Linked DNA regions of Stegostoma tigrinum. The main gene of each other region encodes a partner of the protein of the gene in region 3 in a complex. Links are inferred from orthologs where the notes say so. Each region holds a gene or a part of one and is shown on either strand. Other genes may lie near its edges.

Region 1 (8,479 bases), on a different chromosome or scaffold from region 3:
TTCATTGACAGGCACCGTGTAAGCAGGCTCACTGTCATAGAAACTTCTGGCTCTCATTGCCATCGTCTAGTTTCAGTGAGCCCTCGCTTCATGTCCAAATTCCTTTGAGCAAATAATCCACTGGGGATAAATATCACTTTAAATCGCATTAAGAGATAATGATGACAGTTGTACTTCAAAATATTGTGAAAATGCAAATATAGCGGTGCCAAATCAGCTCAAACTATGTTCACGATCAGTGGATGCCTGAAGCGGCACAAGCGCCAATTTCACTTGGTCTCAGTTGACCCGCGACTCTCAAGCGAGCATTTTTTTAAGGAATTTCGAGCTACTTTCAGATTGAACCTCTCGTTTAACTTTAACGGCCTTTTGCAAGGCGCATTAATGTTTGTGGTTAAAAGGTTCGGGATTGTAAAGGGGCGGAGAATGGGAGCGGGAAGAGGGGTGGCATCAATTTTCTCACAAAGCGAAAATTCATTTCTTTGGAGATGCCGAAACTGACTCCTGGGGCGCTTTGCAATCTGGCGAGTGCGTCAACGTGAAAATGAATCAGTTGTGTTGATCAGAATACGTTACATTACAGGGGGAAATACAATTCCATTGCAGCGAGGGGAAAGCACCAGTCTGGGTAAACATGCGAACTTAGAGAGCGAACATCATTGTCCGGCACCTTGGCAGAAACCTAATAATGCAATTATGAACCGAGTTTGGTCCCTATCCAGGACTGATCCCACCCTCGGCAGCTTGCTGCAGGACATTGAGACACTGACATGCATCACACAGAGACTAGGACTCTGCTGCTAATGGTTTCAACCGAGTTGACGTCATGTGAAGGAACCCATTCATATCTGGAAAATATAGCAATAGTAAACAGTCTGCCAAAGCGTGCAAGTTCAACATTAGCCGTGTTATTACGACAGGATCAAACGAGCCACCCTGCTATCAAATTCAGCATCTACCGTCTCCACAAACCCTGGACCTGGCATTCCCTCTTCTTCCAGGAGATAAACAACGCGCTCTTATTTTACAAATGCAGAGGAAGGACATGTCATGATCCCCAAAAGGTTTCCCGCTGAGCCTCTCGGACAGAATTTAACAGCATCTTCACTTAGACAGACGCGTCCGAGTTCTCCTGTGGGACAGTCATCTGTGAGCTGTCCCCATACAGGAGTGTCTCTTCTCACTGTCTCTCGCTCCGCGTATAAAGGGGAGCTCACTTCGAGAACACTTTCTAAAAAGGTTCTCTTTTGTTTCAATTTCCAAAAACTGCTAACATGCACCAACATGAATGTCACTACCACCCCCACCCAACCCACGACCCCCGCCCCCAGCCCAACCCCGGTGCGGAACAAGCAATCAGATCAAACACCTACTTACGTTCTTATATCAGAGAGAAATAGGCAGCCTCGCAAACATGAATATAGTATTTAATACAGTGAAAGGCGTGTTACAGTAACCACCTTGGTTATACGAGTTAGAAAATTTGGGGATTAGTACAGCTGGGGCCGACAACTGACAGAATCTTGCTCCGAAATGACCCGTGAGTTCGGACAGCCAGGCGGTGCTCACCTGAACTCGGGCTGGAAATCCGGCTTCAGCCCATAGAAGGAGGTGGAGAGGGTCAGCAGCCACAGCGGGCTGTACTTGCCGTGTTCACATTCCAGGTAGGGCGCCGACCACTTGATGTGAGTTTTATCCACCAGATACCTCGTGCCTCTCCTCCTGGGGCTGGCCCTCAGGTCGTCTCTCAGCAGTTTCCTGTGAAGGGAAGCCTCGGCAGAAGGCTGATACTTCAGGCGGTGAAACCACTCCGTCTCGATGGTGTGGTTTGCCAGGTGGCGAGCGCTGGCCGAGAGATCCTGGAGGAAGATTTGGTTGTCTATCCGGGTGGCCTGGAGGAAGAGCTGAGGAGGGGATGTGAACGGCTGAACATCGAAAGTCACCACCGCTCGATGGACTTTGGGATCAGCCTCCAGAATACTCCTGACCAGGGCGTGATACCACTCGATGTCTTCCTTGACGGTCAGCTCCCGAAGCCCGTTCGTCTGTAAGATCATGTTTAAGAAATTGCTGGCATGGACGACAGTGTCCATGGCACTGTGGAGTGACGGGTGGATGTGCATCGGGTGAGAGGCCTCTTTCAGGTTTGACAATTGGTACCTCTTCGTGCAGTTAGCGTAGCCAAGCTTTGAGGGATCCCCGGTGTGGAGGAAAGCCCAGACCGGAACGGGCAGGCTCTCGTGATGGGATGAATGCGAGCTGCCCCCACCGCCACCGGTGTCGGCTGCGTCCGGGAACTGGTGTCTCTCGTAGACGGGTCGCTGCTCCTCATAGGTGTCCACTTTCTCCATCTCTGGCGCCGTGCGTCTGCCCCCCAAGCCGGGGATCGAACCAGCCATGACTCCGAGCTGGAGGATTAGAGGCAGCCAGAAACCTGCCATCTCGCCTGCCGAGCCCCCGGGCTTACCCCAGACCTTCACTTCCCCCACCACCAAACGCCGAGCCCTTTCAAGTCAGGCTGTGGCAGCAAAGACAGGAACGTGGAAGCGGGGCGCCAGGAATCAGGTCATCTCGACATCGCCTAAGACAGTCCCAGGGAAACCCATCGCGGCGGTGCTGAGATGTCAGCCCCCGGGGTGAATCTCTCTCTCTGTCTCTGGATCCGCAGCCCCGGCTCACTCACTGATCTGCTGTTTCTCCTCTCACTTCCCCATGCCAGTCGACTGCACAGCCGCCGCTCTCGCCAAGCGTCTCCTTCAGCCTCGCAGTATCTCCGCCACCGACAGCGACTCGGGCCAGAAGTGCTCTCCGTCCGGGTGACTTTCCCCCGTTCCCATCGCCCGCCGGAGGATCTCTCGCAGCCACTTTTGCAGCAGGGGAAGGGAAGTGAGTGCAGCCAGCGAGCGGCGAGGACACTGTGGGTGAATGGGTGGTCTGGGGGCGGGCAGGGTGTGGGGGTGTTATCACCAGGACGCGGTATCCAGCGTACACTTTCCCCGCCCTGTGTGCAATGCCCAGTGAGTCTGCCCGGACGCCGCCGGCCCAGACACGGAGCCCCGCCCCTCCCCTCCTCGCCCCGCACCACCCGATTGGAAACGCCCCCGCCCCGCCTAGTTCTCCGATTGGTTGTTTCCCACACGGCCCGACGCGTCATCGGCGCACTGCCGATGTTTAAATGGTGCGAGAGCCTGTCAATCATGGAGTGTGGCGGGGCGTCCGTCACCCATTGGACAAAGGTGTGTGCGGGGGCGAGGCTCAACGCTAAGGGGGCGGAGACTGATGCAGCCGGGCTGCCCTAAGTGGGCGGGGCGCGGGGGTTTCCGCCCGCAGGTGTGGGGCCTTGAGCGTAGTGGGCGGGCCTGGGTTGGATGGGCGTGGCTTGTCACGGTGGGCGTAACCAATGACGGTGGTGGGGCGGGGTTTGGCGGAGGAAGTGTGGTGCCCTCTTGTCGTTATCCTTACTCCACCCGGCACATTGAGGCCGAGTCTCGTTTAAGCGAATTGGGGTGGGGGTCGAGGGCGTGTGGGGCTGACAGGCGGAAAGCCCCCGGGACACGGATCTCTCTGGGCCGACTCCCTGAATTCCCTTCGTCTGCAACCTCCTGTGCGCTGTGTGCGACGCTACTTTCAGCTTCCATTTCAGCTTCAACTCATAATAAGATGCCAGACCCTGCAGTGTCCTATTTGACCAATTATTTTATCGCCCCGAAACAGTTTAAGCACGATGTTGCTCTTTTTTTCCTTTCAAAAAAATGCACAAATGAGCTGCGATACGAGAGGCAACTCTCGGTTGGTGCTGAAAGAACAGCGCCTCGACTGTGATCCGTAGCATTCAACAGTGACTGACCTCGGAGGCTCGCGTTGTGGCAAGTCTCCTGAATGCGGACATTCTTCGCAAAACCCGTCGCTGTTCATTTCTTATCGCAGCAAACTGTGCAGCCCTGAAAGATGGAAAATGTCGACTATAGGCAATCATTCAAATTTAACATGTTGCGCAAGAAATACAACTTTCTCTTACTCCGTGATAAGAAATCAGTCATGACATTGTGTTTTAGCTAAACAATAACCTGAGTTTTATAAATCATCTTCGAACGCTAAGCGACGATCATTAAGCAGTAGTCACAGGAATACGATGATTTGAGACTATTAAGCAGCACACTTTGCTCAAGTAGGTTTAAGTACGAACTTGTGGATATAATACTACATACTGTAAAGGTTCATCATTCAAACCAGGGATAGTAGGAACTGCAGATGCTGGAGAATCTGAGATAACAAGGTGTAGAGCTGGATGAACACAGCAGGCCGAGCAGCATCAGAGGACCAAGAAAGCTGACGTTTTGGGCCTCGACCCTTCCTCAGAAATGAAGAACTTTCTAAAGAAGGGTCTAGGCCTGAAACGTCAGCCTTCCTGCTCCTAACAAGGTGTAGAGCTGGATGAACACAGCAGGCCAAGCCCAAAACGTCAGCCTTCCTGCTCCTAAGGTGTTGCTCGGCCTGCTGTGTTCATCTAATTACTAAAACCAGTTGGTTTAATGAAAACTCAAGCCTATATTAGTTAAATCATATTATGTACAGCTGATGTGATAGATGTGATTGAATGTGGGCTGCAAAACAATTTTTTTCCTTTTCCTTTCAACATGTTCAATCAAAAAGATAATAAAAGGTTTTTATTTATATAGCGATAACAAAGTGTCGAGCTGGATGAACACAGCAGGCCTAGCAGCACCTTAGGAGCAGGAAGGCTGGCGTTTTGGGCTTGGTCTGCTGTGTTCACCCAGCTCTACACCTTGTTATCTCAGATTCTCCAGCATCTGCAGTTCCTATTATCTCTGATACAGATTTTTATATAGCCTGCTGTACGTTAAACAACTTTTTTTAAGTGACATTCAGTAAAAGAACAGCTCAAGGCATAAGGAAACCAAAGATTTCAAAGGAATTGTGATTTTTTATTTAAAAGCTCATGGAAAGGCTGGGGTAGAAGATTTAGCAGGTTATATGATACTGTCCAGACACTGGAGGCGAAATGAGCATGTTTCATGCACAAGTATTCTGATCCTGTACGTCTATCTATCCAGAAATGATTGATTATAAAACCAGATGTAAATACTGTGTTATATCATCACATCATCCGGGAAGCATGATAACCTTCATATTCAATGGCATTGCTATTGTTGTATACACTGGCCTCACCATCAACCAGAAATTTAATTGGACTAGCCACATAAATAGTGTGGCCCCATGAAGAAGTCAGGCACTGGATGTTCTGAGCTGAGTACCTCACCTCCTGACAACCAATGTCACCTCCTGACTTTTCCACCAATAACAATTCTCATGCCTGCAACAATATCAGCCAAACACCATCTCTGACAAAGGACCCATTTTGATAAGCTCTCACTCCCTCAATGAGATGGCAACAGTGTGTACCATCTACAAGACACACTGCAGACCATGCCATGGCTCCATCCACATGCTAAAGGCACAGCATCTAGCATTCACAATGACAAAGGCAACAGGCACATGTGAATACTCACTTCCACATTTTCATTTAACCCATTTTCTGATGAAGGGTCTAGCCCCAAAACGTCAGCTTTCCAGCTCCTAAGATGCTGGTTGGCCTGCTGTGTTCATCCAGCTCCACACCTTTTTATCTCCATTTAACCCTATCTGGACATGGAAAATTACTACTATTGCCTAGTTGCTTGGTCAAAGTACAGAAATGCAGACTGTAGTAATGCAGGAAAACGGCCTACCACTAGCTACTGATTGGTAATTAAGGATGGCAATCATACTGATATTGCCAGTGATGCTCACATCCAAAAAGCAATTTTAAAAAGTCTAGCTGCACATCTAGCTGCTGCCATTTATCTTCATCCTGTCCAGCTGCAAGTTGAATTTAAATAAGATCACAAGTTTTGTTTATGGCCAGAGATAATGGGAACTGCAGATGCTGGAGAATCCGAGATAACAAAGTGAATGAACACAGCAGGCCAAGCAGCATCTCAGGAGCACAAAAGCTGACGTTTCAGGCCCATACCCTTCATCAGAGAGGGGGATGGGGAGAGGGTTCTGGAATAAATAGGGAGAAAGGGGGAGGCGGATCGAAGATAGATAGAGGAGAAGATAGGTGGAGAGGACAGTATAGGTGGGGAGGTAGGGAGGGGATAGGTCAGTCCGGGGAGGACGGACAGGTCAAGGGGGCGGGATGGGATTAGTAGGTGGGAAATGGAGGTGCGGCTTGGAGTGGGAGGAAGGGATAGGTGAGAAGAAGAACAGGTTAGGCAGGCTGGGACAAGCTGAGCTGGTTTTGGGATGCAGTGGGGGGAGGGGGAGATTTTGAAGCTGATGAAATCCACATTGATACCATTGGGCCACGGGGTTCACAAGCGGAATATGAGTTGCTGTTCCTGCAACCTTCGGGTGGCATCATTATGGCACTGCAGGAGGCCCAGGATGGACATGTTGTCTAAGGAATGGGAGGGGGAGTTGAAATGGTTCGCGACCGGGAGGTGCAATTGTTTACTGCGAACCAAGCATAGGTGTTCTGCAAAGTGGTCCTCAAGCCTCCGCTTGGTTTCCCCAATGTAGAGGAAGCCACACCGTGTACAGCAGATGCAGTATACCACATTGGCGGATGTGCAGGTGAACCAGCTTCAAAATCTCCTCCCATGGTGTTAGTGGTAGCTCATTAGCATAGAAAGATGATTGGCTAACTAATAGAAGATAGACAGTTAGGATAAGAAGGGCATTTTCAGGATAATAACGTATAACTAGCACAGTACCCAGGGATCAGTGCTGGATCCTTAATTATTTACAACATGTATAAATGGTTTGGATGAGGTAAGTGGATGCACTATACCCAAATTTGTGAATGGCATAAAGCAAGTGGGCAAAAATCTTGGGGAGATAGAATATAAAATGGGAAAATGCGAGGTTATGCACTGTGGCAGGAAGGGCAGAAGAGGTGAATACTGTTAAATGGAGAAAGGCTGCAGAAAGCTATAGCACAGAAACCATGAAACACAAAAAGCTAGCATTTAAATTCGGCAGATGGAGTTGCATATAACTATGCTGAAACAATGAGAAACTACCACCATTCCAATGCAAAGAAGTATTATTTTAAATAAATGTTGAAAATAATGCTGCGGCCAATTTAACATGGCCAATCTACCCAAACTGCACATCTTTGAACTACAGGAGGAAACCGACAGAAATCCATGCAGACACGGGCAGAATGTGCAAACTCCACACAGGCAATTGCCAGAGTCTGGAATCAAACTCCAGTCCCTGGTGCTGAGACAGCCATGCTAACCACTTTATCTTAGCCGTTGCTCACTTACATTGTGATACATTCAATGAATTGAATATGTACCATCAGACAGATTGGATCAGCTTCTCCTATGGTAGGGTGCCACTAGTTAGATTTACCCTTTGACGTGGTGAGTTTTATACAATTTGCTTGTGAAGTTCCTTAAAGAGTTGATAATATTGCGGTAGAAGGACAAAGGAGATTGGGGAAGACTGAGATCTGAATGAATGACACAAACAAATGCATGTCTCTTTGATCAATCATATTGATGAATGCCACGAAAAACAGTGCAAGGATTGAACAGAAAGTATTCTTGGAAAAATGCAAGAGCTAAATATTGAATCAAGTACAAAACAAAAAATACAGAGAGAGAAAAAAGCATTTTGAAAAATTTATTTCTTCAACAATTTTAAAATCTCAACATAATTAATACCCAAATGAATGAAACTCCATACATTTAATTGTTAATTTTCAGTATCAAAGAGTTTTATTGGTAAGCATTAACATTTCTCACATAAATGACAGGTAAGTTCGACTCTAAATGACGTGATTCAATTCATATAGCATGTTTAATTCATATCTGCCATCCAAATACAGCAGATTCATGCTACTCAATGTTTTTCAATATTGAGGCAGTCACTACATTTGTATTATGCTAATGGTAGACTGGCATAGTCACATCTGGATGCCCATTTGCTGAAGTCGGGCATAAAATGGTACAATCACTATTAGCTACATTTGAGAGCAAAGATAGGCCCATCATATTTCTTTATTTGTAAGGTACCTGAACTGGTTCCACTTAATGCTACAATAATCACGGTAAATATTATGAAAAGGTATCCTGACAACAAGCTATCTGTACCATTTTACGCTACAGAGCTTCAGGGTTTCTTGTAAGCATTACTGATCTCATTTTAAAAGAAAACAATGTCAGAATAAATAAAGGATAAACCTCTTTAAAAGTAATGATAATAAATGCATATAGTTTGTCTTCCCTCTGAGTTGAAGTAACATGTTTTCTGACACTGTTATACTTCTATGAAAAATATATTTGCAAGAAGCAGCACTTAGGAAATTTGGAGTGAATCCAAGAATAGTGAGGATTCTTACTTGCTGGAAAAAGCATTGAAAATGTTTTCAGTTCCCCCTTTCATTTTTCACCTTAACAAGAAC
Region 2 (7,784 bases), on a different chromosome or scaffold from region 3:
TGAGGGAGATGGAGACAATTGGTCAGTATGTGACCATACTGTTACACATAGCTGGATCCATTGAGATTGGACAACTAAAAGTTAATCTTATCACAGATAGGACTAGCCAGGCATTAAAGATCCTGCAGTGAAAGCACATGTCCTGAGAGAGGGGAAACATCTCACAAAAAAGTGATCGGCATGGCAGCAGTTTTGAGATTGTGAACCATTAGCTACAGCGTATAAATGGGAGAACAGATGATGGGTTGAATTAAGCTGATTGACGTCCAAGGCCAAACGAGAAAAGTATTTCGGGAATAAAGGATAAATAGTTGCAGAAAAGCCAGTGGAAAAGTAACAGACAGATGTCAGAACGTGCATACATGGGCAGCACGGTGGCGCAGTGGTTAGCACTGGTGCCTCACAGCGCCGGGGACCTGGTTCAATTCCACCCTCAGGTAACCACCTGCGTGGAGTTTGCACATTCTCCTCATGCTCCTGCTTCCTCCCACAGTCCAAAGACATGCAGGTTAGATGGATTGGCTGTGCTAAATTACCCATCGTGTCCAGGGATGTGCAGGCTGGGTGGGTTAGCCATGGGAAATGCAGAGTTGCGGAAAGGGTAGGCGGGTGGGACGCTCTTTAGAGGGACAGTGTGGATTCAATGAGCTGAATGGCCTACTTGCACACTGTAGGGATTCTATGATTTTATATTACTCACACAAAAGATAGGGAGGAATGTTCAATGTGGGGGAATTAGTACCCTAACTGCAAGAAACTGGAATCACTTTTCACACAAGTGTTGAGCTAGAAAAAAAGCAAAGCAAGCTTATACAGATGTCAGCCAGTGATACACAAGCGATCCTTATGATGTGCGACATCCCAGACAGACCAGGGATGAAGCTGGCTGAATTACTTATGTTGTCACTGTTGACTATTATTCTGATTATTGGAAAAAAGACTAACCAAGTCAACAGCAAACAGTGAGATTGTCAAATACAATTCAATTGTTATGGCATTCCAGACATTGTGATGAGTGATGACGGCCCTCATTTCATGCTTGAAACATTCATTCGCTTCCTACAGGATTGTGAAATTCACCATCATACATTGGCTGTACACTATCCGCAGTCAAATAGAAAGGCCGAGACAAAGGGATCAGAAAGAAATCAAGTAAATCTGGCGCAGTCTTGTACAAGGCAATCCTTGAGCAGAGTCTAAAGGCTAATGTCACAACACACACAAATTATCCTTCCAATAGTGGAAATAAAACTATCAATGCCGGAAGCAGTAATATGTATAATATAAACATGAAATGACAGGAAGCAAAAATTCATTTTAATAAAACTGCCAAGTAGTTGCCAGAACTGAGCATTGGAGAGCCAGTCAGAGTCCAAACATTCAACATTCTCAACAATGGTTAGTTCATATAGCCAATTGGGACTTGTGGACAGCTACATTTAACTTGATCACACACAATGAATATCAACAACGAGATTTGTCAAAATAGCCGCAGATACATGCATACAACTGGAGACCAAACACCTTTACTACAGGCAGCAAACCAGGAAGAAGTGATCTCATCACCTCCACAGAGTACAGGACAACGTTCAGCCCTGGAGTTTCATTGTTCCCCAGCAATAGAAATGGATTAGTAACAACAGTTACCACACACTACCATATGGGATCAACACTCACTGGTGAAGGAACATCACCTTAAGAATGAGCAGGCAAAAGAACAGCCATCGGCAATGCCCAAACAAACAATTATGAGATCTGAAATAAATAGGGAGAGAGGGGGAGGCAGACCAAAAGATGGATAGAAGAGAAGATAGGTGGAGAGGACAGTATAGGTGGGGAGGTAGGGAGGGGATAGGTCAGTCCGGGGAGTACGGACAGGTCAAGGGGGCGGGATGAGGTTAGTAGGTGGGAAATGGAGGTGCGGCTTGAGGTAGGAGGAGGGGATAGGTGAGAGGAAGAACAGGTTAGGGAAGCAGGGATCTACTCAATGTACCGATTACTTATATATGTAGAAACTAATGGCAGTTGAACTGACTAGAGTTAACGCATCCTGGTCCCTTCGTGAATGATAACGTTCATTGTTAAACATATATACCGGATAACTTGGATAACTTATAACTGCAAATGATAGTGTTCATGTTTCTTTTTTTTAACCAAAAGGGGAGTGTTTGCAGAAATACCCTTGTATTTAGTGCACCAACTGGTCATATGACCAGTTCTTCTGGGAACTCCTGTTGGCATCTGTTAAAAACACGTCACTTAAAAGAGGAAGGAACAGCAAGGGTCTCTTACTGGCCCTCTATTCAGCTGACAAGCGATTCACTGCGTCAACAAGATTCCACCCTATGTTTCAGGTCAATGACCTCTCATCAGAACCTTTCTATTAATTTCTCTCTCTACAGATGTCCAACTTCTGAGAATTTTCAGTAATTCCTGATAGTTTATAAACACAATTTCATCATATGCAAAGAACTACTAAAATCTGAAATAAAAGAAAAATAACCTAGATACTGGAAATCCAAAATACAAGCAGAAAAAGTGATGGAAATATTCTGCAGGTGCGACAGCATCTGTGAAATGCAAACAGAGTCAATATTTTAAACTGAATATAATCTGAAAGAAGACTTGTATTCAAAGCAAAATGCTAACTGTTTGTCTCTCTCCAAATAAATCCAGATTATTGACTATTTTAAGCACTTTCTGTTTTGTTCAGCACCAAAATCCATACTCGATTTACTCAGATAAAAGAAGATGTATAATATTTGCAAAGTTTAACAATTTGAACTGTCACACAGATGACATCACGAATTCCTCATTACAGGTTGTTATTTAGCCTTTTAATTCTGAAAATCAATTAATTCCAAACATATGCTGGAATGGGAACATCTGAAACATTTATCTGCATGTAAAATGCCAACATTTGAACATTGAGTTTAAATTCAGACATACCTGAATGCTCCAGGAAGAATGCAGATGGGAGGCTGAAGTCAGGCTCTGAGAGACTGAGGATTTGAGAAACTAATCCAGCTTCAGTGGCTAAGTGATAATCTATTTAAAGGGTTACAGGTCATTTTGAATATTTTTACTGACACCTTTCGACAGAGCCTTTTTATAGTCACTGTAACTTTGCACTTTATTACAAGAAACGTAAGGAATCTAACAACTAAATACATTGGATATTTTGTGTGTCTCAGGAATGTTTGGAATGATTAGCTGTTCAAGAGATTCATGACTCAGTTGACGTCTTAAATAGATCAGCCAGTTGATCACATGGTTTAGTTTTCCAAATACGCAACACAGCATCTGAAAACTGTCAATCGTCCTTAAAATTCCTTTACAATTTCAAATCCACAAAATAAATTTTAAAAAAGGTGTATATTTTAATTGAATGTACAAGTTTGAATATATCAGTGACCAGGGATGGTCTGAACAACTTTGTTGACTTAGACATTGGGTGGAGTATTTACATTTTTAAAAATATAATTCATGGGATGTGGTCATCTCTGACTCAACTAGCATTTATTGCCCATCCCTAATTGCCCAGAAGACATTTAAAAGTCAACCACATTAGTCACATGTAAGCCAGACCAGGCAAAGATAGTAGATTTCCTTCAATAAAAGGTGAATTGGATGGGTTTTCACAACAATTGTTGGTGGTTACATGTTACCATTAGGCTTGCTGTTAATTCCAGATATTAATTTCATGATTTATCATGGTGGGCATTGGAACCCAAGCCCCAGGAACATTAATCAGCTCTTCTGGATTATCAGACCAGTGACATCACACAATGCCACTGTCTCCCCTGATAATAGGTGATTGTGTAGAAATTATGCTAATTAAAGTTTTATCAGACTACCAAATATTTTAAAATTACAGCACAAGAGGAAAATATTACAAATCCTGAAATTCTGATTAAAACAAGTGATGCAAATAGGAAGTTGTTGGCATCTGAAGAGATTGGAAATGGGTTCCTGTTTGCATCGGGAATCCCTTAGTATAAACGAGAGGGTGGAGTGAAAAGACAATCTGCCTATGAAGGTGGATCCAAAGTTTTTGAAAATTTTGTTCTGGGAGAAGAGTTTTACTACTGATAGCACCGCATGAAAATTTGAAAGCGCCCTGCCTGATTTTCCAGATCAGGTTTTTGAAAGCCCAGAGAGTAGAAAGTTGAGTTAGAAGTATTACTACCTGCACCTGAGTGAACTAAACAGGTGACCCTGATCAACATTTCCAGAAAAGCAACTGGTGAATCCACATCTTTGCCTGTGAAATAATGTGCAACTTTTAAGTAATCTGGTCAGTTTTATTAATTTCTTTTTATCTCGACTGACTGATTCTGTATCCACTGCCCTTTTGAAGAGAGTTCAAAATATCTACCACACTTTGTTTGTAGAAGAGCTTCCTAATATCACTCCTGAACAGTGTAACCCTAATTCTCAGTCTGTGTTCCCTAGTTCTAGAAACCCTGATAAGTGGAAATGGTTTATCTTTGTCTACCTTGTCTTTTCCGGTTAATGTCTCGAAGACATTGATAAGATCACCCTTTAGACTTCTACATTCTAGAGAAAACAAGCCTAATTCGTCTAACCTCCCCTCACAATCCCTGAAGTCCGAGTAGCATTCTTGTAAACCTACATTGTAAGCCAACAGTTCTCCAAAGGTCAATATATCCTTTTTAAGATGTAGTGCCCAGGTCTACTTAACCTCTCTGCATGTGAAAGTCCCTCCATACCCGATATCAGCTTAGTGAGCCTTCTCTGCACTGCCTCCAATCCCAGTAAATTTTAGTGACCCAATGTTTTCAGGGAGTATTACAGTCCATGACTGCTGATTCCTGAATAAATTAGTCAAAATGTCATATCGTAGTAACATCCCTACTAATAGGGTAAGTTCTCTTTGAATTTGAAGTGGTCATCCTGAGCAATAATTACTGACTTTAGGAAAGCCAAATCATATTTATTGCCCAAGCCAACAACAGTTTATGAAATTAAAATTGTAAATATCAATTGAGAGGAGAATTAACTCATCTGGTCACTGTTCCATTTAAAGTAAGCCAGTACAACTTACCAGTCTAATTATTTAATGGCCTAAATAAAATGATAGTGCCAGTCCATGTAGGAGGGCAGGAGAGAAGTGGGACCAGGTCAGCGGAATTTGAAACTAGATAATATCAAACTGCTCTCCAGTAAAAAAAAAAACCCTATTTTTAATCCCAAAGCAATGTTTCACTTTATTAGTGTTTGGTAATGTCATCCTTTCTTCACAACGGGGTCAATCACTAAGGGACTAATCTTAGGTCCACTGTTCCTGCTTTACTAGTGTTATCATCATGGACTAATTGTACCAATGTTTAAATGGGTAGCTCTGGCTAATCAAGGCCTCAATTGCTGAGATGGTAACCCTGGTAATAAAAATGAAATTATTAATCTAAACGTAGGTCTTCGAGATTCAAGCACTAAGGGCTGTGATTACTTCTTTTGGCAGCTTGTTCCATTGTGAGGTTGCCCTTGTGGGGAAAATAGGTTGTTGGTATACCATCTTGCAAAAGGGGATGTCTTTGCAGTTTGTGTGGATCGTTCCCTTGTGGTTTGTCATTGTCAGAAAGCACTAGGCATTTGTTTCTGTTAATGTCCGTTCTATATAGTATAGAATATGAGTTAGCCTATTTTCCCTCTTTTGCTGTAGTGATTCCAATTCGAGATCCACTGATGAAGGCAGTGACACTGGTGTATTTTCCAGTTGAATCATGGAGTACGTTTGGATTGTTTCAAGCTTATCGAATAATAGGATCTTTGTACAGAAGAGGCCCTTTGGCCCATTGAGTACATCACCAAAAACTACACCACTACCTCCACTAAGATGACTTTAGCATACTAGGTCCATATTCTTGAATGTTTTGGCATTTCAATAGTTCATCCATGTACTTTTAAAAAAGGTTGTGAGATGACCTCACAGGCAACCCATTTCAGACCCCACCCCAACCTCTGGTGAAAGAAACATTTTCTCTAAATACTTCCTTTTAACATAAAAAGTGTACCCCCTTGTTCTTGACCATTCACCGAAGGGGAACAGCAGCTTTCTACCTACCCTGCCCATGCCCCTTATAATCCTGTAAACCTCAAACCAGGCCCCTGTCAACATCCTCTACTCCAGAATAAGAACCCCCGAGCTTATCCAGCCTCTCTCTGTAGCTGAAATTGGAGCAGTACTCTGGCTCTGTAGTTAAGACAGCAGTGGACATGGGTTTGATTCCACCCTCGGGCGACTGTCCAAGTGGAATTTGCACATTCTTCCCATGTCTACACAGGTTTGCACTGGGTGCTCCAGTTTCCTCCCACAGTCCAAAGATGTGCAGGCTGGGTGAGTTAGCCGTAGGAAGTGCAGGGTTATAGGGTAGTGTAAGAGGGGTGGGCCTGGGTGGAATGTTGGGTTGCTGTGACTTGATGAGGTGAATGGCCTGCTTCCACGCTACAGGGATTCTTTGAAATGCTCCAGCCCAGGCAAAACTCTGGTGCATCTCCGCCACACCTTCTTCAATGCAATTGCATCCTTCCCATAGTGAGGCAACTAGAACTGCACATGGTACTCTATTTGTGGTCTAACGAAAAGTTCTGTACAGGTTCAATATAACATCCCTGCTCATATAATCTACACCTCAACTGATAAAGACCAGGATGTGTCTTCTAAACCACCCTATTAACCTCTACACCCAATTTCAAGAATGTTTGAACACACAACCCAAGATCACTCTCAGCTTCTTGGTGCTGTGGGTAAGTCACCACATTTCAGCTACTTATTAAAGAAATCTCATATAAAATCAAGTACTGAAACAATAATTCAAACTTTATTGCACGTTGCAACTAAACACAAGACCCCTTAAGTAAGCAAGTATAAGCCTGCGATCCAACTTAGTGATTACCTGAATTAATGATGAAATCTGGCCAGGACTTCAACCAAAAAATGGTCTGTCTCTGGAAGTCTCCAGGATTCAGTCCTTCTGTAATGTTGTTCTGTTAAGTTCTGCTGTTGAGTTGTTCTGGTCTTTGATTCTTATGCAGATATTCATCCTTCAGTCTCTGAGGTGATATATTGATTGATATTGCTTAAAATGTCCTTTCACCAAATTACTGCAAGACTGCAGCTGGATTCCTTAACAAAAGTAATTTCTTTGTTCCTTGTTACATTTGGCAAGACACGGCTTTCCTATGATTACCTCCTTAAATTCTTCTACAGGGCAATCAGTTAGTTACCCGTGTTGCATAAAGCATCCAGTCAAGCAGGTATCAAAGCAGTTTTCTCTATGTAGCCCCCACTCCCAGACGTGCCAAATACTTGCAATTCCTGTATAAGTCAGTCCTTGTCTTTATTAGTGTGTGTGTGAAACAGCTTATCTTTTGTTGGTTCATTCAGTCAATGAGCTGTTATTAAAATTCTGAAGTCTATAATATCACGTTAGTGTCCTGACAGTCATTGAGAGCTAATTTGTCTCTTTTGCCAGTAAGGATCCATACAAATAGTGTACACAACTAATAAATATTTGATAAGCTGTGACACTTATACGACCATTAACTCTTTCTGCACTGTTTCACCTCTGCAATCTTTTTCTTAAGTATTTCTCACCATTGGATCCAATCCTGCTGAAGCTATTGAAAAATGCAGGCAAATTTGACACAGTGTCATGTCATGCTTTCATAGTACACACATTGTCGCCTGCCATTGAAAAAGCCCAGGTGCAGATAGTGTAATCTGTAAAGTCAGACAATAGCTGATAAATTGCAGAAAC
Region 3 (8,255 bases):
ATCATTTCAAGCATTTCTTCTATGTCTCCAGGTTAGCTCATACATTTGGAGATAGCAAGAACTGCAGATGCTGGAGTCAGAATCAATACGTTGTGGATCAGGAGGAACACAGCAAGTCAGACTGCAGCAGAGGAGCAGGGCAAATACAAAATTCCGGATGATGGGTGTAAACCTAGAATGTTGACTTTCCTGCTCCTCTGATGCTCCTATAGTCCCAGTTATTTATAGCCTCATCTGATTATGTAACTTAATAATGTTAAGCCTAAAATACCTCATGGTTTACATCAATATTACTTAATACCTACACAAGATCAAGATCTACTGGAACCTGTTGGTAAGTTGTAAGATTCAATTCTCATATGTTAATTATACCCTACATATATGTATAATATATGTATGGAATTGCAAACAACGATATTCATCATATTGTTTACTGATGTATAATAAATCGAAAGTTCAAACACACATGCATCCCATAGATGACCATTTTTATTTTGAAAGAAGTGGTCAATTGTCACTCATGGAAATTCATTCATTTGCTCTCCATCTCCATGCTGCCATCTACTGGGACATCCATGGCCTGATTGTAAAGTGGGCTTTCTAAATATTTCATTCACGTGTCAACAAAAATGCACATCACAGCGAGATTAACGTTAGTCATTTACACAAGTTGAGCAGCTTTTCAGCTATTTACAAAGTGTAAAAGCATTATTTTGTTTTATGGTTTACTTTTCATGTACTGTTCCTACTAATGATATTAGGTTTCTCAAAATCATTAACAGGAAAATTGCAGGAGTGCATCATCTTTTGTTTGACAGTCATGCAGTTCTGCAAAGAAAGTGTTATTAATAACTTCTTACAGAAGAATCTTAATGCTCTGTTTTTGTCAACAGGGATTTCATGCCAGTCATTGACAATGTATCTGCAAGTGAGTCACCTGATAGACCGAGCAGTGATACCGAACTTTATTCTAGTGACTAATCTTGGGAAATTCCATTCTGCATTTTTTCACTAGTGAATCATTAATACGAACGGTCACATCTTAAATCAGGAACACTACGAATGCAAATTATACAGAGCAGTGCTCTTTTTTGAGTTCTAATAACTCAATATTCTTCGAATATTCTACGGTTATAATAACCGTAGCTGCGCTCCTATTGCCTTTGAAACGCAATGCAAAACGTAAAGCAATAAATCACAGCAAGTATTTGACTCCGTAGATAGCATCCCTGCCTATAAAACAGAAACGCCAGGTTTAAATGTTGACATGGAAGTGGTGTTCATGTTGCAGTTCAATAGGTGATAACCACTCAATTACACTTCCAACATTTCCCCACTAAAGTATTCAATACGAAATGAAAAGCATGCAATGATATGGAAGAAACCACAAATTCGCCTTTTCAGGAAATGTAAAGAGTTGCATAACAGCTGTGTTTACTATTGAATGTTTTTTCTACATCTGCACTGACCTGGTCCCTCCATCTACTTGCCTGTTCCAGCTCAATTCTGTGTAATTTCAGACCAGTGATCTCTGTGGCCCTGGGAAGACTATTTCCACTGGTACAGGAAGATCTAATCTCAAGGCTGTGTATTTCAGTTCATGTTGGGCCGTCTTCAAAGTGTTTCGTTCAGCTGGTATTTATAAAGTAAAACCTACTTTTTAAAAAAAATCATCACTAAAAACGTGCGGTACTGAATATGAGTGTTTTTGCCACTTTAAATGCCTGTGTGAGTATTTTCGACCAATGCCAGGGAGAAAGGCTATATTTAATTCATCCCAACAGTCTACAGCAGCCACAGCAGTTGTGGAAAGCCTTGCTCTAAAAATGCGTGTGATTCACGAGGACAACCGGATTAAACCGAACTCATCGTTCTTGCGAGTTCACACAGAACACGTGCTAGCTGCAGCCCACTGTTTGTGGGCATGTGGCGAGGTTAAGATCTGTGCCAGCTCTGGCTCAGATCTGCTTTGCAGCCACCTGTCACTTTGGTGCCGTCACCTAAAACCGGTGCATTGTGCCTGTAAGGGACTGAGACCCGCTGCTGACAAGCCCCTGGCCCCAGCAGCGTTCACACACACACAAACAGACCTAAATAAATACCCTCGGAAAGAAAGCTCTCTACAGCTGACCAGAACCACAATTCAACAATCGGTAGTTAGCTTAAACCTAGCCCGCCCCGAGCCCCAAGCGTACTTGGGACACATTGGGAACAGAAGAACCTGATTACGTCCAGCTAAATGATTATCTTATTCGTCCTGGCCACAATTACGGCCGTAAGCAAGGCAAACTACAAACATCATGGGTCCCAAATAACGTGCTGCACGTCGTAGCTTGAAGAAGACGCCGCATCTTCCGCCACAAGTTACATGCATTTCCCCACACACGCCTACCTTTCTGTACACCAGCATGTTCGGCGATTCGTCTGCCATGCCGTTGTTACTGGCATTCTGTCCACAACTATTTCCTTGAGCCATCGCAAGATCTGTCTTCAGCTGCCTTCGGACTTTCGACTTTTCACTAAGCAAGAAAATGAAATTAGAAAAGATAAAGTCAGGCGCCACGTTAGTACAAGGATTGAAGTAGCCGCAGATGTCAAATCTGGACATAGCAGAGGGCAATGCACATATACCAACACAAGAGGGAGGAGGGGTGCAGGCAGCACTTCGTGTAAACTTCGACTCTAAATCCCTTTATGATTTTATGACCGCGGATTTGGAAGATAAAGCCATCACAAAAGCACATGCGATCTTTGCGCGGAGCTATGCCTACGACAAGGCATCGCAGAAATGGAAAGCGCATGAGGATAAGCCATCCAAGCAGTTCTCAATAAAATGCACAGAAATGCGCGCAAGATTGCAAAGAAAAATGTGACCGGGATTGCACGGCAAGTGTACATTCAGTGCACGTTCCCCGCGTTGTACCGTTAGGCGACTGCATGCAGCGGAGTCTCCTCAATAATACCTCATTCCATCAAATGTTTTCATGCAGCCTTGGGTGTGGGGAGGCTGTGCATTCAGATGCAGCGTCGGGGAAAGGGTGCACAAGGTTGGCGGATGGGAAAGAGCGGCCAGACTGAGCCCTGAAACAGGTTCAGTACCACAGACAGCAACCAGGGCCGGCCACAGTGGCCAGCTACGGAGGGATACTATCTACTGCACCGCGTCTCACGGCTTAAGGCTTTGCTTTCTCCTTCTCTTCCCCCTCTCGCTGTCTTTTGAAATATTCTCTTTTCTGTTTAGAAAAGGCTAGCGACGACCCCCGTACCGTGATTTACCTCAAGCTCGGCGCACTGCACACGCCAGGAGCAGAAACCTCCTTATTATTCTTGTAATGTTCTTATCCGCTCCAGATCCCGGCCTCAGATGATTCATTTGAAAGGGCTTGCGGGTGGTTTAGCACCGAGGCTCGGCTTTCCTCCCGCCCCCACCCCCCCTCCCCCCAACTCTCTCTCTCTCTCTGTTATCCTGTCTGTCTGTGTCTTTCAACCTTGTTCCTGGGAAATGTGTTGCAAAGCGAGCCCGCGCTCCACGCTCCCCGGGCGCGTTCTGGGGAGATGGATAGGGGGCGGGGCGGGGTGCGCGTGACGCGCTCGGGCGCGCGCGCTCCTGCAACCGGGAGCTGAGCCGCGGCGATGGGCCAGCCCCCTGCGAATAATGTTCGTGGGGCTGGAGTTTCTCGCAGTCCGCGCGGTGTAGCGTGTCTTGAAACTGCAAACAGCAAGGTGACCCGCTCCTGTGAGATAAAATTCGGCGCACTTCCAGCTGGGGGAGGAGGTTGGGCGGCACGGTGGACGTTGGTGACTGGGAAGGGAGAGGAGATTTCTGATGACCATGAATGCGGCGGCGCGGAGAATGGGCTTGCAAAGTGTGAGAGCAGGGTCTTGAAGATTGTTATAGCCAAGTGAGGTGGGGTTCGTGTTAGAGATGCTGCAACTGAAACCTACCTCACAATTTTATGATCTCTCTGCTGAGAGAGTCACTCGCCGTCCTGCTGATCAAACTCACCCCAGAGACTCTCGGTCTCCGGTAAACTGTACTAGAAATCTGGAATGTTGGAGGCGTTACATAAATGCATGTTGTTAGCATCAAAAAAGATCTGTAAATAAACTACAGATTTAGTTTATTTAAAAAGCTGCTGCTTTTTTAAAGTTCAGTGGCATTGCCGACATAATTCTGTCAGTGACACCCCAGCCAAACCACATGCCTTTCTCTCTGCCTCTTCCTCATCGACTGTATCTCTCATTTGCCTGTCTGCCAGTTGCTTAAGAATCTTTACCTGAATCGGGATGGGAACCCTGTCCCACTGGAAGGGGTGAACGGGGAATATGCAACGGCATGAAGTTAAGATGGGGGCGGGGCGGAAAGCAGAAGTAGGGTAAACAGGGTGATTTTAATCATGACAAGAAGTATCGATGGCAAGGTAGTGAGTAGAACTACAAGGTGGGAAATTGAAAAGCTTGTTAAACACTAAGTGAGTGGAGTACCGATCCCTCTCTGCAGCAATCTCTCCTGTTCACCATAAAACAGGATGTAATTGTGTGAGTAGGAACCAAAGTAAGGATTGAAGGCTTACGGGCCTGCGAATTAAGTAGACAGAATAACGCCATCGTAGCAATGGCGAGATGGCAGCAACGTTAAATAGTTACTTAGCTTCAGTATGTATCGGGGGATAGAATAAATGGGCATAACTTTGTGTGGAAAAATCAGTAATGAGGTAGCACTTTCAAAATAAAGGGGTGTATTAAATAAACTAACCTAATACTTGTGTGCATTGCAGTTGTGTTTTCTAAATGTGGGTTCTTTTGGTGTTTACGTGTGTGCGAGAGTAAGCCATCATCTGGTCTAATCAGAAGACTCCTGTGGAGTAAACGAGATATAGTTTATTACATCTCAATAATTATTTACAGGTTGTAAGGATAGGCTGCACGTTAGTACAAAGAATTGTCACTGATGAGATCCAACTCTAATCTTCCACCAAATCCTCATGGGATCATAATTGTGGGTGCTGCTAATTGTGTTCAATCAAGCGTTAACCCTTTCAGCCAATATGTAACATCTCTACCAAACCTTTTTATTGTAGCTATTATTGTTATACATTGTTATATAATAACTTTTACTATAATTATCCTATCAGTAACAGCAAGTCTTACAAACTGAGCCAATTTGGAGGTTACACTATTCCCTTAATGTGTTCTGTTTAGACCTGCAAAGATGGTCTGTGATTCAAGGTTCTCTTCTGAACCAGATTTTGTTTTCTTTAATCTATTGTGTTTCTTCCATTACAGACATCAACCCTGCTACAGAAAATTCCTTTATTCTTGAACTTTAGACGTTTCTTGTCTTTTCTTACTGGTGTCTTCCATGGAGCTGTATGCACCACAACTTGAATTAGTGTCAGTGGACTTTTGTTCTCAATCCACATGTACTGAAGTAGAAAAACTTTCCACTTCATATGGTTCATTCATTTTGATTTTCTTATTTGCCCTCCGTGACTCAACCATTGGTGAAACTATTCTGTTCACTTCCTGAGTTGCATTGCTTGAAGGTTACTTTTTGATTGCTCTAATATCCATTATGGTTGTTGAGGATTCTTCTTTGGAAGATATTCTACTTGAACCTGACCTTTCTTAGTCAATTCAGCATCTAATGTGTAACTTGGATTCATTGTAATTAGTTGTTCACTTTGTAGCATTGCAGTCTGACTCAAGTCAGCTACTTGAATTGTCTTGAGAGGTTTGTACTGTTCAGTTGTCACCTCTTGTTTGATTTTCTTTCTTTTGTTGATTACCCCTTCTAGCTTTTAAATATAATTGGGGCCAACTTAGAATTCCTGGTAATGAAGTACATATACGTTTTCTAGAATTTGTTGCCTTCTATGTTGGAGAGGTGCTCGTAGCATATCTTTAGACCCTACAGTTGAAGTTCTGTCAGCTGTTGCAAACAATGTTCATCAACTAAAGCCCAAAATCAATACTATAATACGTTCTGTCATGTCAAACTTGAAATTCGTGAGCCATTCATTGACATAAATGTCTGCTTTCCGAAATATTTGGTCTGGATGACAGTGTACTTCAGGAAAATTTTGGTTTTGACTTTTACTGGAAATTGTTCCACCTCATTTATCACTTTGTTTGGGTATTTCATTGGTCTTTTCCTTTTCTACGGCTGTATCCTACTTTGACTCATTTTCTAAAAGTTTCTTATGTTTTACAGTGAAAGCGTTCAGTTTTAACAGTTGGACACTGTTGATGCCTGTGAAGTTTCTTCGCTCCATGGCATTAAGGAAATACTTTCAGTGATTGGTGTCTGTCCTACCTGCTGTAAATCACTTATAGTACTCTTTTTGACTTCTATTCTGCAAGGATAGCACACTGATTAGGAAAGAAGGACCACAAGTAACTGGATTAGATTTAATCTAACAAAAGCACTCTCCAAGGTTTAATTTAAAGAGGTAAACCATGGGAACAGAGCTCAAAGTCTTGGTTTGCTCCTCTTGCTCAATTTGGCAGGCTGGGGACATTCTGAAGGGGGAGGGTGAACAGACAGTGGTCGTGGTACACGTTGGAACTAACAACATAGGTTAAAAAAAAGGGATGCATTCCGAAAGGCAGAATACATGGAGCTAGGAAGAGCGTTAAGAAATTAGACCTCAAAGGCAGTGATATCAGAGTTCCTACCGGTGCCACATACTAGTCAGAGGAGAACTGACAAGATACACTGGATGAATAGGTGGCTGCAATGTGGTGTCAGGGGGAGGGTTTCAGATTCCTGGGGCATTGGGACAAATACTGGGGGAGGTGGGACCTGCACAAATTGGATGGGTTACACCTGGGCAGGACAGGGACTGATGTCCTGGGGGGACTGTTTGCTAGAGCAGTTGGGGAGGGTTTAAACTAATAGGCTGGGGGCTGGGAACGTGTGTATAAATTCAGTGAAGGAGGCAGCAGGGACAAAAACAAAAACTAGAAAAAGGAATAAGAAAAGCGATAGGCTGAGAAATCAAAAACAAGATTCAAACAAGGATATTGAGAAAAATAAGGAGGAGACAAACATTAAAAGGACAAGCTTAAAGGCTTTGTGCCTTAATGCATGGAGCATCTGCAGTAAAGTGGATACACTAATCATGCAGATAGATACAGTATAACTGGGATTACAGAGGCATGGCTGCAGGGTGACCAGGGATGGGAACTGAATGTCCCAGGGTATTTAGTATTTGGGAAGGACCAGCAAAAAGGAAAAGGTGGCGGAGTGGCATTGCTGGTTAACAGTGAGAAAGGATATTAGCTCTGACAATGTGGAGTCTGTATGTGTAGAGTTGAGAAATACCAAGGGATAAAAAAAATTAGTAGGTGTCATACTGGAATGGTAATATCGAGAATGGCATGAAACTGAAAATTAGAGATGCATGTGAGAAGGGAATATTGGTAAAAAAAAGGGATGCATTCCGAAAGGCAGAATACATGGAACTAGGAAGATGGGTGATTTTAATCTGCACATGTATTAGGCAAATCAAATTAGCCACAATGCTGTAGAGGAGGAATTTCTGGACTGTATATGGCATGGTTTTATGAACCAATATGTGCAGGAACCAACTAGAGAGCAGGCCATCTTAGACAGGGTGCTGTGTAATGAGAAGGGAATCGTTGCAATCGAGCAATGCAAGACCCCTTGGGGAAGAGCAGCCATAACATGATGCAATATTTTTATCAAAATGGAGAGTGAGGCTTTTGACTCAGAGACTATGATGCTGACCCTTAATAAAGGAAACTACAAGGCGAGAGTAAAATAGTATCAGAGATAATGGGAACTGCAGATGCTGGAGAATTCCAAGATAATAAAATGTGAGGCTGGATGAACACAGCAGGCCAAGCAGCATCTCAGGAGCACAAAAGCTGACGTTTCGGGCCTAGACCATTCATCAGAGAGGGGGATGGGGAGAGGGAGCTGGAATAAATTGGGAGAGAGGGGGAGGCGGACCGAAGATGGAGAGTAAAGAAGATAGGTGGAGAGAGTATAGGTGGGGAGGTAGGGAGGGGATAGGTCAGTCCAGGGAAGACGGACAGGTCAAGGAGGTGGGATGAGGTTAGTAGGTAGCTGGGGGTGCGGCTTGGTGTGGGAGGAAGGGATGGGTGAGAGGAAGAACTGGTTAGGGAGGCAGAAACAGGTTGGACTGGTTTTGGGATGCAGTGGGTGGGGGGGAAGAGCTGGGCTGGTTGTGTGGTGCAGTGGGGGGAGGGGATGAACTAGGCTGGTT

The links.
Region 1: the proteins of rgs7b (region 3) and gpr158a are in contact, whole or in part, in a cryo-EM structure (PDB 7SHF), measured with the Homo sapiens proteins. The link is inferred for Stegostoma tigrinum from reciprocal best matches to the Homo sapiens genes RGS7 and GPR158. Residues at the interface, in NP_001351815.1 of Homo sapiens: Gln35, Ile43, Ser55, Arg109, Phe110, Thr112, Pro113, Tyr114, Phe115, Lys134, Thr136, Lys140, Ala141, Arg142, Leu143, Leu145, Ala146, Asp147, Ala150, Leu153, Gln157, Trp164, Phe168, Met169, Gln170, Glu172, Ala173, Gln174, Lys176, Val177; in NP_065803.2 of Homo sapiens: Leu507, Lys508, Phe510, Leu511, Arg513, Thr514, Tyr595, Tyr598, Ala599, Thr602, Val603, Pro604, Ile714, Arg715, Leu718, Lys719, Tyr722, Leu725, Glu726, Tyr728, Lys729, Arg730, Met733, Ile734, Thr735, Asn736, Asn737.
Region 2: the proteins of rgs7b (region 3) and guanine nucleotide-binding protein subunit beta-5 are in contact, whole or in part, in a cryo-EM structure (PDB 7EWP), measured with the Homo sapiens proteins. The link is inferred for Stegostoma tigrinum from reciprocal best matches to the Homo sapiens genes RGS7 and GNB5. Residues at the interface, in NP_001351815.1 of Homo sapiens: Pro19, Leu22, Val23, Lys26, Val30, Ile72, Val76, Glu77, His80, Leu81, Leu84, His88, Val207, Asp213, Ile214, Lys215, Lys216, Leu258, Gln261, Ile262, Trp265, Gln266, Gln268, Leu269, Arg271, His272, Arg273, Leu274, Lys275, Met276; in NP_057278.2 of Homo sapiens: Leu57, Glu60, Ala61, Glu62, Leu64, Lys65, Leu68, Glu71, Lys74, Leu75, His76, Asp77, Val78, Glu79, Leu80, Val83, Leu90, Phe93, Arg98, Arg99, Leu109, Lys117, Arg118, Ser134, Phe135, Trp149, Met151, Leu167, Tyr197, Ser206.

Annotation. Positions count from the first base shown.
Region 1 is NC_081355.1:121,447,590-121,456,068, reverse strand, and holds the start of gpr158a (probable G-protein coupled receptor 158), read right to left. Parts: upstream 3,051-8,479; 5' UTR 2,442-3,050; coding exon 1,570-2,441; intron 1-1,569. UniProt on the Homo sapiens protein: Metabotropic receptor for glycine that controls synapse formation and function in the brain. Acts as an atypical G-protein coupled receptor that recruits and regulates the RGS7-GNB5 complex instead of activating G proteins.
Region 2 is NC_081386.1:20,114,422-20,122,205, reverse strand, and holds the start of guanine nucleotide-binding protein subunit beta-5, read right to left. Parts: upstream 3,051-7,784; 5' UTR 2,950-3,050; intron 2,522-2,949; exon of another isoform or gene 2,504-2,521; intron 1-2,503. UniProt on the Homo sapiens protein: Enhances GTPase-activating protein (GAP) activity of regulator of G protein signaling (RGS) proteins, such as RGS7 and RGS9, hence involved in the termination of the signaling initiated by the G protein coupled receptors (GPCRs) by accelerating the GTP hydrolysis on the G-alpha subunits, thereby promoting their inactivation.
Region 3 is NC_081362.1:75,958,194-75,966,448, reverse strand, and holds the start of rgs7b (regulator of G-protein signaling 7), read right to left. Parts: upstream 3,218-8,255; 5' UTR 2,987-3,217; coding exon 2,964-2,986; intron 2,520-2,963; coding exon 2,393-2,519; intron 1-2,392. UniProt on the Homo sapiens protein: GTPase activator component of the RGS7-GNB5 complex that regulates G protein-coupled receptor signaling cascades.